Macaca fascicularis: one gene and its partners. The main gene of each other region encodes a partner of the protein of the gene in region 3 in a complex. Links are inferred from orthologs where the notes say so. Each region holds a gene or a part of one and is shown on either strand. Other genes may lie near its edges.

What was found.
Region 1: the proteins of NCAPH2 (region 3) and NCAPG2 are in contact, whole or in part, in a cryo-EM structure (PDB 9F5W), measured with the Homo sapiens proteins. The link is inferred for Macaca fascicularis from reciprocal best matches to the Homo sapiens genes NCAPH2 and NCAPG2. Residues at the interface, in NP_689512.2 of Homo sapiens: Pro316, Trp317, Gln318, Ser319, Leu320, Pro322, Phe323, Asp324, Ser325, Leu326, Glu327, Ser328, Lys329, Pro330, Phe331, Lys332, Lys333, Gly334, Arg335, Pro336, Tyr337, Ser338, Val339, Glu344, Gln360, Asp361, Phe362, Gln364, Trp365, Tyr366; in NP_001268861.1 of Homo sapiens: Lys248, Leu251, Gln252, His292, Ile294, His295, Leu296, Pro297, Arg299, Ser300, Val302, Lys340, Ala341, Arg342, Asn343, Ser344, Glu345, Val346, Pro388, Tyr389, Pro390, Arg393, Gly425, Glu426, Ala428, Phe429, Asp430, Thr431, Ser432, Arg437.
Region 2: the proteins of NCAPH2 (region 3) and SMC2 are in contact, whole or in part, in a cryo-EM structure (PDB 9F5W), measured with the Homo sapiens proteins. The link is inferred for Macaca fascicularis from reciprocal best matches to the Homo sapiens genes NCAPH2 and SMC2. Residues at the interface, in NP_689512.2 of Homo sapiens: Glu46, Phe53, Ile54, Glu55, Leu58, Leu59, Gly62, Ser63, Ala64, Cys65, Val66, Lys69, Tyr73; in NP_001036015.1 of Homo sapiens: Leu93, Thr125, Gln128, Asp129, Cys132, Gly135, Leu136, Asn137, Met173, Tyr174, Lys177, Lys178.
Region 4: the proteins of NCAPH2 (region 3) and SMC4 are in contact, whole or in part, in a cryo-EM structure (PDB 9F5W), measured with the Homo sapiens proteins. The link is inferred for Macaca fascicularis from reciprocal best matches to the Homo sapiens genes NCAPH2 and SMC4. Residues at the interface, in NP_689512.2 of Homo sapiens: Arg494, Ile495, Trp498, Glu499, Thr501, Val502, Leu505, Leu506, Gln509, Glu510, His512, Phe547, Cys550, Arg551, Met553, Leu554, Leu557, Gln558, Ala560, Asn561, Tyr563, Val565, Glu566, Ile567, Gln569, Leu573, Glu574, Ala576, Val577, Asp578; in NP_001002800.1 of Homo sapiens: Ile100, Leu101, Gly102, Pro103, Ile112, Gly113, Pro114, Ser117, Gln1151, Met1152, Leu1155, Phe1227, Lys1228, Ser1231, Ile1232, Phe1235, Tyr1236, Glu1239, Gln1240, Asn1253, Asn1254, Phe1256, Glu1257, Arg1261, Gly1264, Ile1265, Tyr1266, Lys1267, Thr1268, Tyr1269.

Annotation. Positions count from the first base shown.
Region 1 is NC_088377.1:199,965,877-199,971,465, forward strand, and holds the start of NCAPG2 (condensin-2 complex subunit G2), read right to left. Parts: upstream 3,607-5,589; 5' UTR 3,501-3,606; intron 859-3,500; exon of another isoform or gene 759-858; intron 450-758; 5' UTR 411-449; coding exon 333-410; intron 1-332. UniProt on the Homo sapiens protein: Regulatory subunit of the condensin-2 complex, a complex which establishes mitotic chromosome architecture and is involved in physical rigidity of the chromatid axis.
Region 2 is NC_088389.1:54,028,527-54,033,979, reverse strand, and holds the start of SMC2 (structural maintenance of chromosomes protein 2), read left to right. Parts: upstream 1-1,799; 5' UTR 1,800-2,040; intron 2,041-2,068; exon of another isoform or gene 2,069-2,245; intron 2,246-3,043; 5' UTR 3,044-3,104; coding exon 3,105-3,272; intron 3,273-3,868; coding exon 3,869-4,018; intron 4,019-5,453. UniProt on the Homo sapiens protein: Central component of the condensin complex, a complex required for conversion of interphase chromatin into mitotic-like condense chromosomes.
Region 3 is NC_088384.1:1,040,095-1,044,847, reverse strand, and holds the end of NCAPH2 (condensin-2 complex subunit H2), read left to right. Parts: intron 1-30; coding exon 31-102; intron 103-604; coding exon 605-671; intron 672-802; coding exon 803-910; intron 911-1,047; coding exon 1,048-1,101; intron 1,102-1,241; coding exon 1,242-1,312; intron 1,313-1,403; coding exon 1,404-1,497; intron 1,498-1,588; coding exon 1,589-1,660; intron 1,661-1,761; coding exon 1,762-1,811; intron 1,812-1,910; coding exon 1,911-2,012; intron 2,013-2,106; coding exon 2,107-2,256; intron 2,257-2,324; coding exon 2,325-2,465; 3' UTR 2,466-2,701; coding exon of another isoform or gene 2,702-3,502; 3' UTR 3,503-3,848; downstream 3,849-4,753. Other genes in the region: protein SCO2 homolog, mitochondrial, read right to left, coding at 2,702-3,502. UniProt on the Homo sapiens protein: Regulatory subunit of the condensin-2 complex, a complex that seems to provide chromosomes with an additional level of organization and rigidity and in establishing mitotic chromosome architecture.
Region 4 is NC_088376.1:63,362,330-63,367,244, forward strand, and holds part of SMC4 (structural maintenance of chromosomes protein 4), read left to right. Parts: intron 1-543; coding exon 544-735; intron 736-2,220; coding exon 2,221-2,397; intron 2,398-4,915. UniProt on the Homo sapiens protein: Central component of the condensin complex, a complex required for conversion of interphase chromatin into mitotic-like condense chromosomes.

The DNA of each region.
Region 1 (5,589 bases), on a different chromosome or scaffold from region 3:
AGCCCCCAGTCTCATCTTCTGCCTTCCTGCTGAACTTCAAGTTCAAACACAACAAACTTTCTCTAGTCTTCAGAGTGACCTTCTTGGTTAGATGGGTCCTTTCCCCCAACATCCCTCTTTGATTGGTTAACTTCTGTTTATCTTTTACATCTTAGCTTAGCCCACCAGCAGGTAGATTTGTGTATAAAGGGTTTTGTTTTCTTCTTTCAAATAAACATTGGTCACTAAGGATTCACTGAGATAACTATGTTTCGTTTGGCGACATAATGATTTTAGAACATATTTCTTATTCACAGTCAAAAATCACAACAAAACTAAAACTTGAAACTTACATCCAGTTGAACAAATTGCAAAAACTCTCCAACCAGCTCCTTAGATACGGCTTGTACAAATGTCTCACGTTTTTCCATGACAGATGGAACTGTTCAAATGGCATTTATTTTGCAACCCTAGTGGAAAACACAATCATACTGAAACACTTGCAAATATATATTTTCCTATAAGATTTAATTTGATATTAACATCCAAGAACTGCAAGAAAATTCCTGAACCACGTATGGCAGACAGTTTATAAAAATATTCTAACATAAAACAAGTTATAATATCTGAAAAACAATTTACTTATTTCCTTTACTGGGGATGTTAATAACATGATATTAATGATATTTTATCAACAACTGTTAATAAAACTACCAACTAAGGAGGGAGAAATCCAAATAGCCTTAGGAAGCTCACCACCATCTCTCCCTTTTTAGTACCTTAGCAAGATGCTGGCTCGGCAGATCGAGTTGGTTCAACAAAAGAACAATCTGATCCCAGCTGCAGATTCTGAAGATGCTCCCTTTCTAAAGGCCATTCCTCCATCAAAAAAAAAAATCCCACTGTTAGTGTCATCTTGTTATTCAAAGTGAGATGGAGAACAGTGGCCCCGGGGAGGGGGGCGGGGGTCACCTGGGATCTTGTTAGACTATCCTTTAGAAATGCGTAACCACAGCACTCTCCTCCCACCCCTTCGGGATAATGAGAGCTCAGGGGACTTTGTACACCTTCTATCCTGTCTGTGTTTTTCCAGGAAATTCTATTTCACATTCACAACACCTGGTGCTATTGGTGCCCTACTAAAAAGACATCAACCTAAAGATGAGGTAATAGCAAATGATGGAACATATTTGCAGTAGGAGTCCCCTGACTTTAAAAATAAATGAAAACCACCTGCACCATTATAAATAGAGCAATATGGAAAATTACTGCCAATAATTATGGGGATAGAGAGTTATCTTAAACATATAATACTAGATTTTAATGTCTAAATCGAACAAAGCAGAAAATAACCTCAGTTTAATGACTCCCCAAATAAGTTAACAGTGAAGTCTGGTCATCTCATTCCTCAACTCAAATGGCTGAACTATGAACCACAGTCATGGACCACATAACATTTCAGTCAACAACAGACCACATATATGACTGTGGTCCCATAAGATTATAATGCCATATTTTTACTGTGCCTTTTCTATACTTAGATATGTTTAGCGATGCAAATACTTACCATTGTTACAGTTGCCTACAGTACAGTAACATTCTAGCAGCAGTAGGCTACACCCTCTAGGTGTAGGCAAGTTCACTCTGTGATGTTCATTCAATGATGAACTTGCCTAACCACAACGTTTCTCCCTCTTTAAATGAAGCATGACTCGCATACATTTTACTGACAAAGAAAATGGGGGAGGGAAGGGAGAGTGGCCAGCAACAAGCATAACGAATAGTGGCTAGGACAAATTCATGATTTTAGAAAAATAATCCAATAAGGTGCAGCAAACACATGGAATCATACATCTTCACCTGGCAAGTCTGTGAACTCTCCACTTTTTCATAGTTCTGGTCACTTTTCTTGTTTGCTCTATTTCCAGGTGTACCTCTTTGGCATTGTAGTCCAACCTACAGTAATATACTTCCTCCAGACTACCAAACTTATTCCTGTATTTCCCATTTTCCCTCTTATATTAGTGACTGTAATTTTTTAATGGTTAATTTTTCAATCTATCTCCCAAAGTGGCAATATTCCATGTTTCTTGTAGTATATGTGCATAAGATCTCAGCCCTGCAGCCAGAATGCTACTTTCAAGGTAAGGAGTCATCTCACCACCCAGTTATCAGTCCAAAGAGCAGGCTACTCTTCGCACAGAAGGTCCGGTACTGAATCAAGATGAGCATTAAAAAGAAGAAATCCCTGTAACCTTGTCACTACCCGTGACTTTCCACTCTGTCCCCAAACTCCTTCCTCATTGACACAACAAGAGGCACCAAACCAGCAACAAGAGTTCAGGAGACTGATGTCTCTGAGGACAATGCCCATGTCCATGGCTGGGGAGATACTCTCTGAGGGAAGTGCCTACATCCAGGGCTCAGGGAGACTCTCTCTAAGGGGACACTGTCTGAGGGCAGTGCCCATGCCCAGGACTGAGGGGGTCGCTGAGGGCACTGCCCATGCCCAGGACTGAGGGGGTGGCTCTCTGAGGGCAGTGCCCAGGCCCAGGACTGAGGGGATTTACTCTCTGAGGGCAGTGCCCAGGCCCAGGACTGAGGGGACACTGAGGGCAGTGTCCATGCCCAGGACGGAGGGGGTGGCTCTCTGAGGGCAGTGCCCAGGCCCAGGACTGAGGGGATTTACTCTCTGAGGGCAGCGCCCAGGCCCAGGAATGAAGGGACACTCTGAGGGCAGTGTCCACGCCCAGGACGGAGAGGCTCACTCTCTGAGGGCAGTGCCTAGGCCCAGGACTGAGGGGACACTCTCTTGAGGGCAGTGCCAATGCTCAGGGCTGGGGGGTCGCTCTCTGAGGGCAGTGCCCATGCTCAGGGCTGGCGGGTCACTCTCTGAGAGCGTGCCCGCGCCCGGGGCTGAGGGGACTCTCTCTGAGGGCAGTACCGACACCCAGGACTGAGGGGGACTCTCTCTGAGGGTAGTGTCCATGCCCAGGACGGAGGGGACACTCTCTGAGGGCAGTACCCATGCTCAGGGCTGGGGGGTCGCTCTCTGAGGACAGTGCCCGCACCCGGGGCTGAGGGGACCCTCTCTGAGGGCAGTGCCCATGCCCAGGACGGAGGGGACACTCTCTGAGGGCACTGCCCATGCCCAGGACGGAGGGGACACTCTCTGAGGGCAGTGCCCATGCTCAGGGCTGGGGGTTCGTTCTCTGAGGGCGTGCCCGCGCCTGAGGCTGAGGGGACTCTCTCTGAGGGCAGTGCCCGCGCCCGGGGCTGGGATTTTCCTCCGACACGGACAGGAAGGACGGGCGTCGCTGAGCTGGGAAGGGGGGATGGCCCGGGGTCGCCTCTTCCGTCCGGTCCCGTCAGACGCAGCACTGCCCGCGCGCTGGTCGGCAGCCCACTTAGGGAAGTGGAGGCCGGGACCCCGACCAGCCGAGGAGGGGCTTCCGCCCGATCCCTGCTACCTCCCAGCCTCTGCTCTGAACCCAATCCCGGCTCCGCACCGCAGCTCTCACCTGGGCTCGGGGACCCGCCGTTTCCCGCGCTCGGACCAGATTCAAACGCACCCGCCGGCGCCCCAGACGGGCCCCGCCCTCCCGGTCGTCACCCAGCGCCGCTCTCGCGAGAGCTGGGGCGCCGCGATCCTCGGGCCCTACCCACACGCCCGCTCCGCCCCGCCTCCAGATCATGCCCCGCCCACATGCCCGCCGGTCTTCCTCCTGTCTATGCCCCGCCTCTTGGGCGCTTAGCCCAGTGCCCTACCGGGCACCACGGAACGCGCACGCGCGGCGCCACAGCTGGGGAACCCATGCACGGTGCGCGCGCCGACGTCCACTGCGAGCTTGTGCGCGTCCTGGGGCCTCCGCGGAGGGAGTGCGCGGTCCAGGAGAGGGCGGGGCGCTGGGAGCGGGCGGTGTTGGGGGAAGGAGGAAGGAGAGGAAGGGAGAGACGGGGAGAGGAAGGAAAGGTTTGGGGCGGGGAGAGGCCACAGGGCCGTGTCTGGATCCCCGGGAGGACCCCACCCCGGCCTGGCCGGCTACCGTGACCGCCCTCCCTGCCAAGGGGTCACCTGTCCGGCCTGCACCCAGTAGGTGCGCCCTGGGCAGGTGCTTCCCCCGCAGAACTCCTACCCCCCCACCCCCGGCAGGTAGGCTGCCCATAGGGTGGAGAGGGAGAGGCCTTAGCGGGGACCCTCGAAGGCACCCGTGTGAAGGAGGAGTAGCAATGTCGTTTAATTCTTTGGACTTAAATGCCAAAGGCACATACTGATCTATCAATCTCTTTTAATTTGTGTCAGCGAATAACTTCATTGGGCGTTCCCAATTTTTGTTGAAAGCAAATTCTTAGAAAATGGTGCTCTTTACCACCGAGCTCTGCATCCCTTCGTGAGGTTTTGGCCTTCCCTGGTGCTATGTTCTTTCATGCTTGAGATGTCTAGAGTGGTATCTGTTTTCCTGGCTGAACTCAAACCAGAGGTCTCGGCGAGATTGAAGTCGTTGCACTGTGGGAGCACAGCACCACCCAGTAGGAACATCATGGGAGCCACAGTGCAATTGTAAATTTCTAGTGACCACATTAGAAAAAAATAAATAGGTGACATTGATTTTTAAATATGTTTTATTTAGGCTAGTGTATCAAAAATATTTATATTACTTGTTGGAATATCGTTTCAACAAGCAATATAAAATTATAGCAGGGAGAAGAGTGGTTTACTGGGAAGCTTGCAACAGTGAAGCAAGGCAGGCTGCAGAGGGGAGGGAGAAGACCCACTCAGAGCATGCCGAGTTTCGGACCCTTGTCAACAGGTGGCCGATATCTAACATCGCCTATTTCATCCTGGAGCTCCAGCCACCTCTGACCTCTTCCCTCCATACACAGACATCTCCTTCCCTGCAGTTTCTTGAATTTTGGTGCCCTCACCTTCTTCTCACTGCTTTCTTCTTAGCAATTTCCTTCATATCCAAGGTGCAAACTGCCACCTTTGAGCAGTGACCTCTGCATCTGGAATTGCAAGACACGGTTATTTCTGAACTCCAGAATTTTCAACAGCTCACTGCCTATTCCCGGTGCTGACATGCATCCAAAACGGAAATCAATTTCCTCTCCCAACCCTGAATCCTGCCCCTTTCCTTATGCTGGTCCCTCCTCCAATCAGCCATTTGTTCCTGGTGGTTCTGCTTCCTGAATAGGAATAACGTAATAAGTTACACATGTGAGCTCTGAAGCTGTACCACCTGGGCTAACCTGGTTCTGTGCTCACTAGCTGGTGACCTTCGACAGGCCATGGACGACTAAGCCTTAGTTTCCTCATCTATTAGATGGGACCTACTTAAGTACTGAGCCTCCTCTAGGGAGTTATTATGAGGCCTAAATGTCTGTGTAGTGCAGAGCTCAGCCTCCTCTAGGGAGTTATTATGAGGCCTAAATGTCTGTGTAGTGCAGTGCTCAGAGGCACGTGGGAGCAGGGCAGCAGGAGCGTTGACTGTGCCCCCAATGCACCTGCCCATGTAGCCGCTAATGTCATAGGATTCTTTCGGTATCACTTCACCAGCTAGAAACCTCCGTGGCCAGCGGCGCCTCTGTTAGAGTTTTGCTCAAGCCCAC
Region 2 (5,453 bases), on a different chromosome or scaffold from region 3:
GGTCTTAATGGGAGTAGTTAGATCTGCACATTCTTCTAACCACCCAGAAGTCCTTAACCAACAACAGTGCATTTGTATGTTTTCATCCATTTGACGTAAGTGCATCAGCTAGTTGTTAAAGTGCAAAGACTAACAGTCTGTCTTCACACATATTTCCATACCAAGAATCACTTTATTTCACAACTTGACTACGTCCACATTAGGATTTGTTGGCAAATTAAAAATTATTTACTCACAAAATGATAAAAGGAAGGAGACACAGGTGAAAGTAAATGTGTAAGAGTTAACAGAATCAATACAATTGAATAGCTGTGGAGCCTAGGGGATGCAGGATTCAAGGCAGACAAAGATATCTGCTGAAGTAAATTAATGTTAGGTCACTACCCATGGTTGACATCACAGAAGTGGGTAAGCATATCAGAGTAAATAAATGAATCCTTTCTTAAACAAAAAACCCATAAAACTTATTTTACTCCCTTAACGAGAAATATTTTCAAAATTTAGGCCCATTCCTGGTAGATTAAGACCAGTTCAGACGACTGCATTGCCATTCCAGGGCCAAGAAAGCAACTTTAAAAACACGCCCTATGCTATGGTCTAAATATGTCCCTCAAACTTCACATTTTGAAATCCTAACCCCCAAACTGATGGTTTTGGCAAGTGGCCTCTTGGGAAGTGAGGAATGGGAAGAAAGGAAAGGCCCTTATAAGATAGGCCCAAGGGAGGGCCTCTGCCTCTCCACCATGTGAGGACAGGGTCAGAAGGTGCTATCCACTGAACAGAAAGCACTCCTTCCTAGACACACCTTGTTCTGTGACATTCCAGCCTTCAGAAATGTGAAGAATAAACCTCTGTGGTTCATAAGCTACCCAGTCTATGGTATTTTGTTATGGAAGCCCAAAAGGATCAAGCCATCCCAAAATGGCATTGTCCACACCATGTTTTTGTACCTCACCTAGAAAAACACCATACCCATTCGGAGTTAAATCCTTCCTAACTCTTTAGTATCAACGTGCTTGGAAACGTAAGTAATGCTGACACCTTTTTTCTTTCTAAAGAACAATACATACCAATTAACAGGATCGGTGAATAGTACTAGATTCTATGCATGGAGCCTAGTATGTATTTAAAAGCATGCAATCTGGAACTAGACTGGAAACAAATCCCAGCTTACTAGACAAACTGCTTAACCTTTTACTTGGACTCATTCAACTCATTTGTAAAACGAGGGCAATTTCTGATTTCACAGGGTTGCTACGAGGATTTTAAAAAGCCCCTTGGAACATAGCCTAACACTCAGAACTCAATAAATATGAACTGTCTTAAAAGGTTTCCAGAAAAAATCCCTGACAGGTTAGGTAGGCTTATCATTACAACGCTTTCCAGTGTAAGGGAGGTGAACAGCTATTTAGCACCACACAACTCCTCTGGGCTCAGAACAGCTCTCAGTAGACTACGATCCCTTCCCGACGTGAAAATTTCAGATAAAAACGCTCGGCGAAGTCCGAAGGCAGCACGGGACCGAGCCAGGACGCGGGCCAGAGTCCTCCGAAGGACTGTGCCTCTCCGACCCCACCGAAATACAGCTTTTACTTTGCAGCAATCTGAGCCAACCCAAGAAGATTCAGAGGCTTCCAAAACAGAACCGACAAGAACACTCAAAGAATGCCTCTACACCTCCTGATTCTGTCGCTTTGCGTGAAGAGTAGTAAGCCGCGGTGAGCACCGCCCAGAACTCGAGAAGGCGGAGTCTGCTGGGCGCCGAACGCTGACTAGAGGACCCGAGGAGGGGCGGGGCTGACGAAGCGCGAGGACCTGGGGACGAGGTGTGGGGCTGACCATAGCGTGCCGGACGCCGGTGTGAACATATACTACCTGCTCTTGTAGTGCCCAGGCCCGCGCCTGGGAGTCCCCGGAGCTGCCATTATCGAGACTCTGCGTCCTATTGCCCTGAAGCGTTAATCCTTCGCGTGTAGGGGAAAAATGGAATCCTAAAGACAGGCAGCTCCTAGGCACCAGCACAGGAAATAAGCAATGGAGGTGGGGTCCTTTGCTCGCGCCGAAATTCAAAGGAATAAATAGTTCCGGCGCGGGTGTTGAGAGCGGTGCGGCAGGTGTTGTATCCGCTATGGTGAAGTTCTCTTCGTAGCAGCCGCGGCTAGAGAGTTGGCCTGCTCCCCGCCTTTGTGACCCGGAGGAGCTTTTGGGGTGCGTCAAGCCCTGGCCTGAGGCAGCGGTGAGGCGTGTGCGTGAGCACGGCCGGTTGAGCCCGGCCAGACATCCTGGCGGGAGGCGGGACGCGGGAGCTATGGGGAGGAGGACCTTAGGTGATCCTTAGAAATAAAGGCTAGTTCCTATTCGGCCTTGGAGTAGGGCGAAGAGGTGTAGACAGGCCTCAAGAAGCGAAGTAACAGCCTGAGTAAAAGCAAGACGGTGGAGAATATGAGATACATCTCATCCCTAGTAAATACTTAGATGACTTCCCCTCCTCCCGGAGTCAAGCACAATTCGGGGATGCAATGATGAACGTAGGTGAAGATACTACAGGAACTTACAGACAAGTAATGACCGTCTAATACCAGTTTTAAGTACCATGAAGGAAAAAGCCGAGTGAAGAAGTGTGGAGAGGTGACACAGGGAGGTCAGGGAGGACTCCAGTAGGGTGACACATTTGAGCAAAGACGTGAGTGCAGTAGAGAGTAAGCTATGTCAGTATCAGAAAAAAGCACATTGTGGGCAAAGATAATGGGGTATGAAATAATCCGTAGTCTTTATTAGCTAGAGTATGATGAAAGTAGAAGGCAAGCCTGGAAAAACAGGTGTAAGAAATAGTTAAGACTTCCCAGTTGAATGGTTTAATTTCCAGATAGTGGCTAACTCTGTTATATTTTTGAGTAGATGAACGATGTCTTTACATCAGACAAGATAGTTTGTCAAGTGGCTGTTTTATTTCTATTACCCTATCATTACCGTTTTTGCCTAGTGTTCATTATGATTCCAGGTTTACATTCCACTTAGGTGGTGGTATTTCTGTTTCGTACAGAACTGGTTTGTGGCCTGTTTGATTCCTGTCAGAGGTTTGCTGACCCAAGACAGTATCGAAAATGCATATTAAGTCAATTATTCTAGAGGGATTCAAGTCCTATGCTCAGAGAACCGAAGTCAATGGTTTTGACCCCCTCTTCAATGCTATCACTGGCTTAAATGGTAGTGGAAAATCAAACATATTGGACTCCATCTGCTTTTTGCTGGGCATCTCCAACCTGTCTCAGGTAAAGTGTAAACTTTCTGATTTATTTGAATATAAGTGGGCAGGAGAATCCTCCCTGAACTTTGGAGACTTAACAATATTCTCTTCATTTGTGTTTTTATACTTTTTGTAAATTACACCTCACTGTCACCTTTTAAGGAAACTATTATTACTCCTTTAGATGAGAAAATAGAAACATAGAGATGTTTATGTTGGAGATGTTTATAAGTAACAATGCCTCAAAACTCAGGCTTTCTGACTGTAAAGTAGTCTCATTCCAGAGTATTTTCAACCCTGTGTAATGATGCCTTTTCAAATCCTGCTAATAGATTGAATGACTAGTGAAAATCATTGGGACTGTCTTTCCTTATATCTTGCCAAGTAACTTTTTGTTAAAAAATGAATAGGAAACAATTCAATTCAGAGTTGAAAAGGTTCTATAGAGAAGAGTGTCCATTTCAGGTTGTTACCTATTTTCCTTGCCAGAGTATGCAGCTGCCTATCCTTGTCTGCTTAGTGGACACTATGTTGGTGGGTTTTCCAACAGCAAGGAATTCATTTTTAGTGCTGCTTTGTAGGGAGTTTTGTAATTGATACACTTTTCTTCTTTTATTTTAGGTTCGAGCTTCTAATTTACAAGATTTAGTTTACAAAAATGGGCAGGCTGGTATTACCAAAGCCTCTGTGTCAATCACATTTGATAATTCTGACAAAAAGCAAAGTCCTTTAGGATTTGAGGTTCATGATGAAATCACAGTAACAAGGCAGGTGAGTGGCTATTAAACATTTCGATATCTTAAGACCTTTTATGTCTGATGTGGTTTTTGGCCCTATGCCTTTGCAAAACGTGCTAGAGAAAGTTGATGAGCAAAATTTGTGCCTTAAATTCTGACTAGATTCCTTAATATCTTCCTTACATTAAAATTTTGATCATGTACACTCTATCACTAAGAGAACTGAAAGAGAACTGAAAAGTTATTCATCCGGTATAAGCACTCAGCTATGCTGAAATCTTAAACCATACTTGAATCTTCTCTGGTTGTTCTTGAACACCTGTGTACTTGAGATCTTGCAGTCTTCTGAGATAACCCATTCTGTTTTTGGACAGGTCTTACTAGAAAGTTACCCCTATAAATTTTGTCAGAGTCTGCTGTCTTCAAATTTTATTCATTAATCCTAGTCCTCTTGAGAGCACTAAGAGCAAATCTGACTTATTCCCTACTTCAGTGTTCAAGTGATCTGCAAGCATATGTGTTTTAGTTCTAAGTGAAATCTTACCAGGTCTTTCATTGATGTTTGTTCCTAGTTCCTTCACTTGCCTGATTATACCAGGTATGCTCCAGTTTCCCTCCCTGCCCCTGCATTCATCTATCTATCTTTTAATGACACCTTAGATTGAGTGTATTAAAATCGGTCTAGTTAGAGTTATTGTTTCATTTTAGACATTCTACTTCTATTTTTCTCAGTAGAGCTTTTTTTTTATGTGTGTTATTAATATAGTCAGGCAGTGTTTTCAGCTTGTCAATGTTTTTTGTTTTGTTTTGTTTTTTGGTTTTTGGTTTTTTTTGAAGACGGAGTCTTGCTCTGTTACCCAGGCTGGAGTGTAGTGGGTAACATCTCACTCACTGCAATATTCGTCTCCCAGGTTCAAGAGAGTCTTCTGCCTCAGCCTCCTGAGTAGCTGATACTACAGGCACCTACCACCACACCTGGCTAATTTTTTTTTGTATTTTTAGTAGAGACGGGATTTCACTGTGTTGGCTAGGGTGGTCTCAGTCTCCTGACCTTGTAATCTGCCTGCCTCGGCCTCGTGAGCCACCGTGCCCAGCCCAAGGTTTTGTTTTTAAAAATGTAGTCAACTCCCATTTACTGTCCATCTTATTATTTATCACTTACAGATTTTCTCCTCTATTTTAATGGAAGCCTCTGATTTAAAAAAAAAAAAAAGAAATATAGGCTAGGTTAGGACAGAATCCTGTTCTGTGTCATTAGGCATCCATCAAATATTTATCCTTTAGGAACTGTCACTAAGTCTCTTACTAATAATCTACCTAATTGTTCCTGTCCTCATTCAGGCTATAAACTTGTATCTTCACCAAAATTATAAAGTTTTTGTCAGAGAGGTCTCTTCAAATACATTAATATATGAACTACCAACCTAGTAGTCCTATCAGGAAAATAAATGAACCAATATTTATTCAAT
Region 3 (4,753 bases):
GAAGTGGAGACCCTGTGACTGTCTTTGCAGAGTGCTGCCCTGCCCAGGAGGTACATGCTGCGGGAGCGAGAGGGGGCCCCAGAGCCTGCATCCTGCATGAAGGTAGGAGCGTTGGGGCCCTGACCCTGGCAGGGAGGGACGGGCAGATTCGAGGACTGGCTGCCTGCCCATCATGCTCTTGCTCCTGCGGTGTTCTCAGCCTGTGGCCCTTTGCACTTGCTCTCTTAGAGACCCCCTCATGCGACTCTGGGCCCCCACCCTCCCTCGAGTGTTCCCCTCTGTGATCCAGGATTTGAGTGTGGTCGGCTCTGTCCCAGGCTGTCACCGCACTTGTTGCCTGGGCTTTGGGAGGGCGGCTGTGCACCCCCTACTCCTCCTTTGGGAGGGCGGCTGTGCACCCCCTACTCCTCCTTTGGGAGGGCGGCTGTGCACCCCCTACTCCTCCTTTGGGAGGGCGGCTGTGCACCCCCTACTCCTTTGGGAGGGCGGCTGTGCACCCCCTACTTCTCCTTTGGGAGGGCGGCTGTGCACCCCCTACTTCTCCTTTGGGAGGGCGGCTGTGCACCCCCTACTCCTCCAGCGCCTTCTTGTGCTCTGTGCCCAGGAGACTCCAGAGCCCTGGCAGAGCCTGGACCCCTTTGACTCCCTGGAGTCTAAGCCCTTCAAGAAAGGTAATTGGGTGGAAGATACCTCCACTCAGGTACTCCTGGCTGGGTCTCCTGGGGCATGAGGTAGGGGGGTGGGAGAGGGCTTTGCACCCTGATTGCCCAGCAGCTCTAAGACAGTCCCTGTTTGCCTCTAGGTAGGCCTTACTCTGTGCCCCCCTGTGTGGAGGAGGCTCCGGGACAGAAGCGCAAGAGGAAGAGTGCTGCCAAGCTGCAGGACTTCCACCAGTGGTACCTGGCTGCCTGTGAGTGGGTGTGCTACGCACTCCGGACCCCTGGGAGCTGGGGGCTGGGCCAGGGCCCGTGGAGGAGGATCAACGCCCTTTCCCCACTGCCGTGGGCAGCTCTTGGCCTGGTTGGTGCTGACCATGTTCTCTCACAGATGCTGACCATGCTGACAGCCGGAGGCCTCGGCGAAAGGGTCCGTCCTTTGCAGGTGAGGCTGAAGTCCTCAGGGAAGACAGTTTTACTCCCCTTCCCCTACCTCTGCCCCCACCTGGTGTCACCAGAGCCTCGGGTGGACTGGCACAGGGCCTGGGAAGGACAAGGGAGTCTTCACAAGGTCTTTGTCTGCAGACATGGAGGTCCTGTACTGGACACACGTGAAGGAGCAGTTGGAAACTCTCCGGAAGCTGCAGAGGAGGGAGGCAAGTCCCAACTGGTCAGCTGTGATCTAGGACCCCGTGGCGGCCCTGGTGGGAGATGACAGTGCCCCTCACAGATGCTGTCTCTGGACAGGTGGCCGAGCAGTGGCTGCCGAGGGCCGAGGAAGGGCTGTGGTCTGCAGAGGAGGACCACCTGGAGGATTCTCTGGAAGACCTGGGGGCAGCAGGTGGGTGCCTGCCGGTGGGGGTGGGGTGGGGCTTGGCACCTGCTGCCAGCTGACTGGCTGCCTCTGTGCTGTCTACTCTCCCACCTCCCAGCAGATGACTTTCTAGAACCTGAGGAGTATGTGGAGCCTGAGGGAGCAGACCCCAGGGAAGCTGCTGACCTTGGTAGGTGGGCAGCGGGCTAGGAGTGCTGAGGGGCCACTGGAACTGGGGGCAGGGGAGAGTGTGGCCCCTCAGCTGCCCAGCTCACAGCTGCCCCTTCCCAGACACAGTGCCGGTGTCCCTGAGCTACGAGGAGCTGGTTCGAAGGAACGTGGTAGGCCTGGGTTAGAGAGGGACGGGGAGGGGAGGGGGATAGGTGAGAGGCGCCCAGGCCCTGCTTGGGAGGCAGTACCTTCTGCTGATCCTCTCCTAGGAGCTCTTCATCGCCACCTCCCAGAAGTTTGTCCAGGAGACAGAGCTGAGCCAGCGCATCAGGGACTGGGAGGACACAGTGCAGCCTCTGCTCCAGGAGCAGGTGAGGCGGGGTCGCTGGGAACCAGAGCTGTCTGCTGCAGGCCTGTCCCAGGCCTTGCCTCTCTCCACAGCCAACACGCCCCTCCCCTGTGCAGGAGCAGCATGTACCCTTTGACATCCACACCTATGGGGACCAGGTGGTCTCGCGGTTCCCCCAGCTCAATGAGTGGTGTCCCTTTGCGGAGCTGGTGGCCGGCCAGCCGGCCTTCGAGGTGTGCCGTTCTATGCTGGCCTCCCTGCAGCTGGTGAGTGGCCTGCGATGCGTGGGAGGGGGAGACGGTTCCCAGACCCTGCTGATGCCCCGCCCCTGCAGGCCAATGACTACACAGTGGAGATCACCCAGCAGCCTGGGCTGGAGACGGCCGTGGACACCATGTCCCTGAGACTGCTCACACACCAGCGAGCCCACAAGCGCTTCCAGACCTACACTGCCCCCTCCATGGCCCAGCCCTGAGTGGGGAGCACCAAGGCAGGGGTGGGGGATGTGTACTGAGGAGCCGTGCATCTGCTCCTGGCTGGCCCAGCCTAATAAAGCAGTGTTGCCATCTCATCTTCCCCCAAAAACCCTTTTCCGTACACCTGCCCTGCGCAGAGAAGAGGGCTGCCTGACCTCCATGGGCTGCTGGTACAGATCACACACGCACAGATTAAACGCACCCTGTTTAATGATGGGGCCCAGGCTGCAGTGGCTTAAGACAGGACACTGCGGAAAGTCGCCATGTGCCGCCGCACACTGTCTGAGATCTGCTCAGCTGACTTGCTCCGGCCGTAGTAATCGGTGAAGAGGCCGTCAGGGTTGAGCAGGTAGATGGTAATGGAGTGGTCCACGATGTAGTCCTGGTCCTCATCCTTGGGGCCGGCACTGTAGTACACACGGTAACTGTGAGTAGCCTGGGCAATCTGTTCGGTGGAGCCGGTCAGACCCAGCAGTCTTGGGTGGAAGTCCTGGACATAGCGGGCCATGGCTTCCACATCGTCCCGCTCGGGGTCCACAGTAATGAAGACGGGCTGCACTGGAGGCAAACCAGGCTCTGCTTCCAGCTTCCGCACCACCTGCACCAGCTTCTCCAGCTCGTCTGGGCAGATGTCAGGGCAGTGAGTGAAACCAAAGTACATCAGCACCCACTGGCCCCGGAAGTCAGCCTTGCGGCGACCCTGGCCTTTGTGGTCCAGCAGGTGGAAGTCGCCCTGGCCCACAGCTGCCTGGCGCAGGGCTTCTATTCGCTTTTGCTGCTGCAGCCTCTCTTTCTCAGCCCTCAGGGCCAGCCAGGCCCCACCAAGTCCAGCTCCAAACAGGGCTGTGATCAACAGCCTGGTTCGAAGCCCAGGGCCCTGAGGCTGGCCCTGCCTACCTGTCTCTGCAGGGCCCTGCCTTGACAAAAACCAGGACCTCAGATGCAGGGCCTGGCCTCCCACGGTCCCAAGGAGGACTGGGGGCTTGAGGTGAGAGAGCCTGTGCCAAGCTGTGGGGCTCCGAGTCAGCAGCAGCATGGATCTGATGCTCCTGGAAACAAGCACAGGTGTCAGGAGCCAGAAGGGAAGGCCCAGGACGGTGCCTGGGCTGCCCCTGCGACTGGAGAGACCAGTCAACCCATCCGAAGGACCCAGGCCACGTTCAGGCTTAACAGGCGTTTGTCACTGCTCACCTGAGCTCAGAACACCTCCACCAAACATCCACACCTGTCACTCCTGTCCTCCACCTGGGATCACCAGCCTGCCACACCTTGCCCTGCACCTCAGCAAGGTGACCCTCTTGCTGACTGAAAGCATTCCAAGTGCATGCCTTGCCTGGACTCCTAACCACGTTATCTATTCGCAATAAACCCATTTCTTAAAAGGAGGTGGGTAACTCTGGCTTGCAGTCCCTAGAGTAACCGATTCCTCCAGCACTTTCCTGTCACCTCGGGCCACTTAAGCCAACCGTGGCCTTCCTCCACACTGCAAGCAGCAAACCTGCACGACCTACCCCCGGAGCTCGGACTCTGCCTGCCTGCCGTATTTAACCTTTCCTTCCACCGCCACAAAACCCCACCCTCCTCACATCCAGGCTTCCCAGCAGCTCCTCCCGGCTCACAGCCGACGCTCTGCCTTTGCGTTGGTGATCTTTGCGCCTTTCCCACGGGCCCCCCCCGGAAGGTTTGCTAGGTGGAGGTCTCAGGACTCCTCGTCACTGCCCCCCCTCCTGCTGAGGGCACCCTCCGCCCGGGCGGTTCTGGGCTTGTCCCCTCCCCACCAAGGCCAACGCCCTCGTGGCCAGAAAGGTCCCAGGACCACGTAAAGAACCGCGCGAGCGCGTTAGAACTGTGCTCGGCCGCACCGAGAACACCGGTGCTAGCCGGGAGCCTCCCCCGGGCGCCCCAGCCTCGCTCCTCCCTCCAGCGCGCCCTCGGGGTGCCCCCCGCCAGCCCCGCGCAGTAGCCGGAGCTGGGAAACTACCCTGGAGTCCAGCGAGCGCCCAGGGCTACCTCCTTCCCTCCCGGCCCCGGCGTCCGCACCTCGCGGCGGGGCCGCGCGTCAGTGGACCAGTCCCCCGAGAGGCAGCGCGACCTCCAGCTCCCTGCGCTCCGCCCCGCGGGCTCCTCGCGGGCTCCTCGCGGGCTCAGGTATCGTGGGCGCCACAAGCTCGCAGCCAGGGCGCAGGCGTTCCCCGGAGCTGCCCATGCGCAGACGGGCACGGCCGCTGACGCGCTCTCGGCGCTTGCGCGGAAGGCGGAGCCCACCGCAGGTCACGTGTTCGCCGAG
Region 4 (4,915 bases), on a different chromosome or scaffold from region 3:
GTAACTATCCTAAAATTCACTCACTCCCTGTTTATCGTGATAGCCATTCTTTCTCTTTCTCTCTTTCTTTCTCTCTCTCTCTCTCTCTCTCTCTCTCTCTCTCTCGCACACGCACACACGTTTCATATGATTTTAACACTTAAATTATCTTTTGTTTATCTGGTTATCTTTGGTACCTCTAGCTGTAAAGTTTTCTATTGAATGGAGTCGGTGTTTTTGTTTGAAATAGTATTTTCCCTTAGATAATTTTTTTTCTTAAAGCTTTCGTTGGAACCCTTAGATAATTTAACTATAAAATGAGTTTTCTAAAACGTCTGCGTTAGAATTAGAGCATTCTTATTAAATGTTGAAACTTTTAAGAGAGGAGAACTTGATGTAAGAAAACTCAAGTTGTATGTCCGTGATTAGCAATAAAAACTTTTAAATACTTGCAGTTTTTAACTGCAAGTAAAGTAAAAAAACCGAACGGTTTAAGTTAAAATCAGTAGTATTAGCTTGACCTTATGAACTTTTACTTGTTTTGTTTTTGTTTTTTTAATGCAGCGCTTTTCCTGTATTATCGGGCCAAATGGCAGTGGCAAATCCAATGTTATTGATTCTATGCTTTTTGTGTTTGGCTATCGAGCACAAAAAATAAGATCTAAAAAACTCTCAGTATTAATACATAATTCTGATGAACACAAGGACATTCAGAGTTGTACCGTAGAAGTTCATTTTCAAAAGATAATTGATAAGGTAAGGGATTTTTACTGTTTAGTAATTGACAAGTTCAAGCAAGGCAAATGGACTTAAATGCATTGCATATTTTATTATTTTTGACTTTAAGAAATTTGTATGTAATTATAGCAGAAAGTATTGGTTTCATTACCTCTGACCATGTTTTATTTTGGGGGAGTGGTGGTGGTGCCTTTTAAAATATTAAATTTTTAGCTAAAGAAATGAATTACAAATAGTTCATAGTAATCCTTTTTGGAATAAAAACATTGAGCAGTTTTAGGATCCCGAGTACTAAATAGGCATTATTTTACTATAAATATTGGGTTCATTTTTAAAGTTATATTTTGGTTGCTTTAGAATAAATTAGCTAAACTTGAAAATATGGCAATTGGCTGGTTTTACCATCTTTATTATTTCAATGCATTTTAACTTTAATGTTAGTGGCCCCTGAGTATCTATGATATGAAGGAGCTTTGCTTCAGTTTGACTACTGCTGTGATTAAGTCCTTTTGAAATGGGGGAAGGGCAAGCTAATGTTTGTTTTCTAGAAATAGAGACAATTACAGGTAAAATGTCTAGATTATTTACCTGTTGATACTTTTGCTTCTGTTTAATAATTAATGTAGGAAATTAATTGTTCAAAAATGACTCGATGGAACCTAAAAATATAGAAAACTAATTACGTAATGAAATTGGGAGGTGATTTGGCTTTTGAATTTTGTTTTCCTTTTTTTTAAAAAAGTACAAAGTGCTTTAATTACACAGAATCATCTATTTTAATTTGGTTTCTTTTGTGCTTTCTATTGTACAAGTTGGGTTGGAAAATAGATTGCCAGTAAATCAGATTTTATTCCATTGCCTATTAATTACATTTGATTTATCTAAATTTTAGAAGCCATTGCTTCAGTATGACAGAACTTTTAAGGGTAAGGGAAAGTGAGTGTTAAAGTAGATTTGCAATTGATTTTTTTTTTTTTACATCTTGTTTGTTTAAAAGAAAACCTAGGGAATTTAGTTATTTTGTGATGCTTTTTACTTTAAATTAATGGCACACTCTTTACCCTCCCACACAAAAAAACTAAACTGTATCACCCCGTTACTACCTTCCTTCCTTTTTCTTTGAATCATCATTTTTAAAAGCTGCAGCTTTTTAAATCTGTCAACATGTTAATAATTTGTGTGAGTTTTGAATATGGTAGGAATCTTGTCTACCTCTTCTGAATCATAAATGTTTTTAGGCTTGTTTGGAGGTGAGTTTTTTCGTTGGCTGGTTGGTTTGGCTTCTTGGTTTTTATGATCTTTGAGAAAGACCAAGCAGCATGGAAAACTATCAATTCTTTGCTAAGCCGAGTTATTATTGAGAACTACTGGCAGTTTGTGTGCGTGTTCAATTGAAGTTTTTAATCCATAGAATTAGTTTCAGTATGAAATGAGTGAATTTTGAAGTAGGCCTATGACTTAATACCAACAATTGTTTTCTGGTTTTGTTTTTCCTCAAAACAGGAAGGGGATGATTATGAAGTCATTCCGAACAGTAATTTCTATGTATCCAGAACGGCCTACAGAGATAATACTTCTGTCTATCACATAAGTGGAAAGAAAAAGACATTTAAGGATGTTGGAAATCTTCTTCGAAGCCATGGAATTGACTTGGACCATAATAGATTTTTAATTTTACAGGTAAGTTTATTAAAGACTTCCAAGATTATCTTATTCTTGTTACTTTTTTTTCTATAAAGTTAGGTTGGATGAATCCTGTATTTTTGAGGCCTTAAAGTACTGTAGCAGCACATCATGGTTTACATACTACAGTCAAGATGCGAATCATTATTTGCTGCTCTAGAAATTTAAGGAAATTCATTCAAAACTATGTTTTCATCATCAGATGTTCATTTTATGTTTGGATGAACTGACATACTTGTTCCACTCTAGCAGCACGTAAATATTGGCGTAGTGAAATATGTATTAAACACCAATATTACTGTGCTGCTTCAGTGTGACAGGGATATAGCAACTATTTTATCCATTGTTTGTATTTCCCTTTAAGGTAACATTTTAAATGAAATGTATTATTTTTTAATAATCTATCCTTTTCCTTTGTTCTTGTTCTTATTCTTTTCTGATATATAACCAAAAACTGAAAAAATCGGTACAATTGGTGTTCGATTTACCTGAGCACCTAGTTAATGTAATCTTTGTAACACTTCGGATGGTTAACTGAACCTTTACTCATTGGTTTTTGTTTCGTTGAAAATGACTGACTTGGTGGAACCACGACTAGTGAAAGAAAGGAACTTTGATATTACATTCTTAAGTATCACAGCTGTTACAGAGCAAGTCCTTTTAAAGAGATGTAAAAATTAAGTACCTGTGCCAAGCTGATTTTTATTAGAAACCCTGTTTTCTTTAAGTAAAAGTATATTCTACCAGCAGGGCTTGGTAAGAAAAATCCCCTATCTTTTTTTCCCTGTCCTCAAAATTCAGAATTTTTTGAAAAAAAAAAAAAAAGGGTAAAACCATGGCTTTGTCAAGTTCCTGTTTGATTCTAGGGTATCTTCTTTTCCTGTGTTCCATCAGGAATCACCGAAGCATAATAATAAAAGCAAAACTATTTTGTGATGCAGAAATGACTGAAATAAGTAGGGAATTTTGATTTGATGCTAAAAGTTTTGTTAGGGTGACTGGATGTTCCTAGTAACAAACTTATAAAATATTAGCCTCTGTTTCCATTTTAGTCTTTATTCTTCAATTGTTTTTAAAAATTATTACTTTTAGACATTTGTAGTATACAAGGTAAATCAGTATCATTCTAGGATAACCTTTTTTAGTATCTTTTATTACCAGGCACAGTATATTTGCAATACTTCAACCTAAACTTGTTTAAAAATTAATGTTGAGGAAATTAATTGCAAATGTATTTCTAAACAAGATTTGAATTTATAGAATGTGGCATTAAAGGATTTTGTGTGTTTTTAAAATCAAATTGAACTGTTTTATTGACTTTCATATTCTGGGACTTGGTTTGGTTAATTATGGATAATAAGCTATGTCCCTATATAATGCTAAATTTGATGATGATACCAATTTGCAGGAAATTATACTTAACGTGTATCTTTTGCTTAATCATCTTTTACCGTCGTCCTGGGATAATCAGAGTTTTACATTTATGCAAAGATTCATCAAAATACACTGCATTTTAACCCTTCTGAGGATATTTTTTTTTCCCTGTACAGCATCTCTGTACATAATTCAGTAATAAAGGAAGCTAATGTAATATTGTCCCAAGGGAGTAAATAATTTATAAATTGTCAAGTTTATATTACATTTGTGCTTCTGAAGTATATGGGATGCTAAAGCCAATTTGTCCACATGATAATCTGAACCTTTTTATTGTGATCTTTACAGTTTTAAAAACATTTCTTCCCAGATAATACCAAGGTAAATGTTCCAAGTTAATAGATTCAGTTTGACTCAATTAAATTTACAGATAAGAACCTTAGAAACTCACCTGTTAGGAATAAGAAACAGGGACTGGACTACAGTAGAACTAATAGTGAGTGCCCAGTTAAAACTGAGGGAAAATGGCAATGGTTTCTATGGATTTTTTTTTTTTTTTGAGTCGCTTATGAAAATCTCATACTCCTAACTGGCAATATAAAGCATTTGATGGTAAGTAAAAATGTGATTTGTATTACCTTCTCTTTTACTGAATAACATCTATCTTAAAAACTGATTTGGGAGGCTGAGAAATTGGAAACAGCATCGTAGTATCAACATCCAAGACCTAAATCATTACTTGGAATAAAACATGTAGACTCTTTGGCCAGTAATAGTGATTAACAGCAAAAGTAATCTAAATTTAGTAAAAGTAAACGTTTATTTTTAAGATTTAAAAGAACCAAATTTTCTAGAATTTCCTAAGAGTAAAATTTCTCAGTGTTAATATATTGGCTTAGCAAATTTTTCAAGTAGGCATTTTTATTACTTGAATCCATTAAAAATTTCATTAATTGGCCATTCAAATGAATTCCTTTTAAGGCACTATGCTAAGATGCTATAAGTAATATAAAGATGGCTAAACCTTGTTTCTTGTCCTTAAAGACACATACATGCCCTCACAAAGTTTTAGTTATGATTGACCATTGTGTTTTTTATAATTGTACATTTCCTTTTATATATATCTACTTTGGGGACCTTG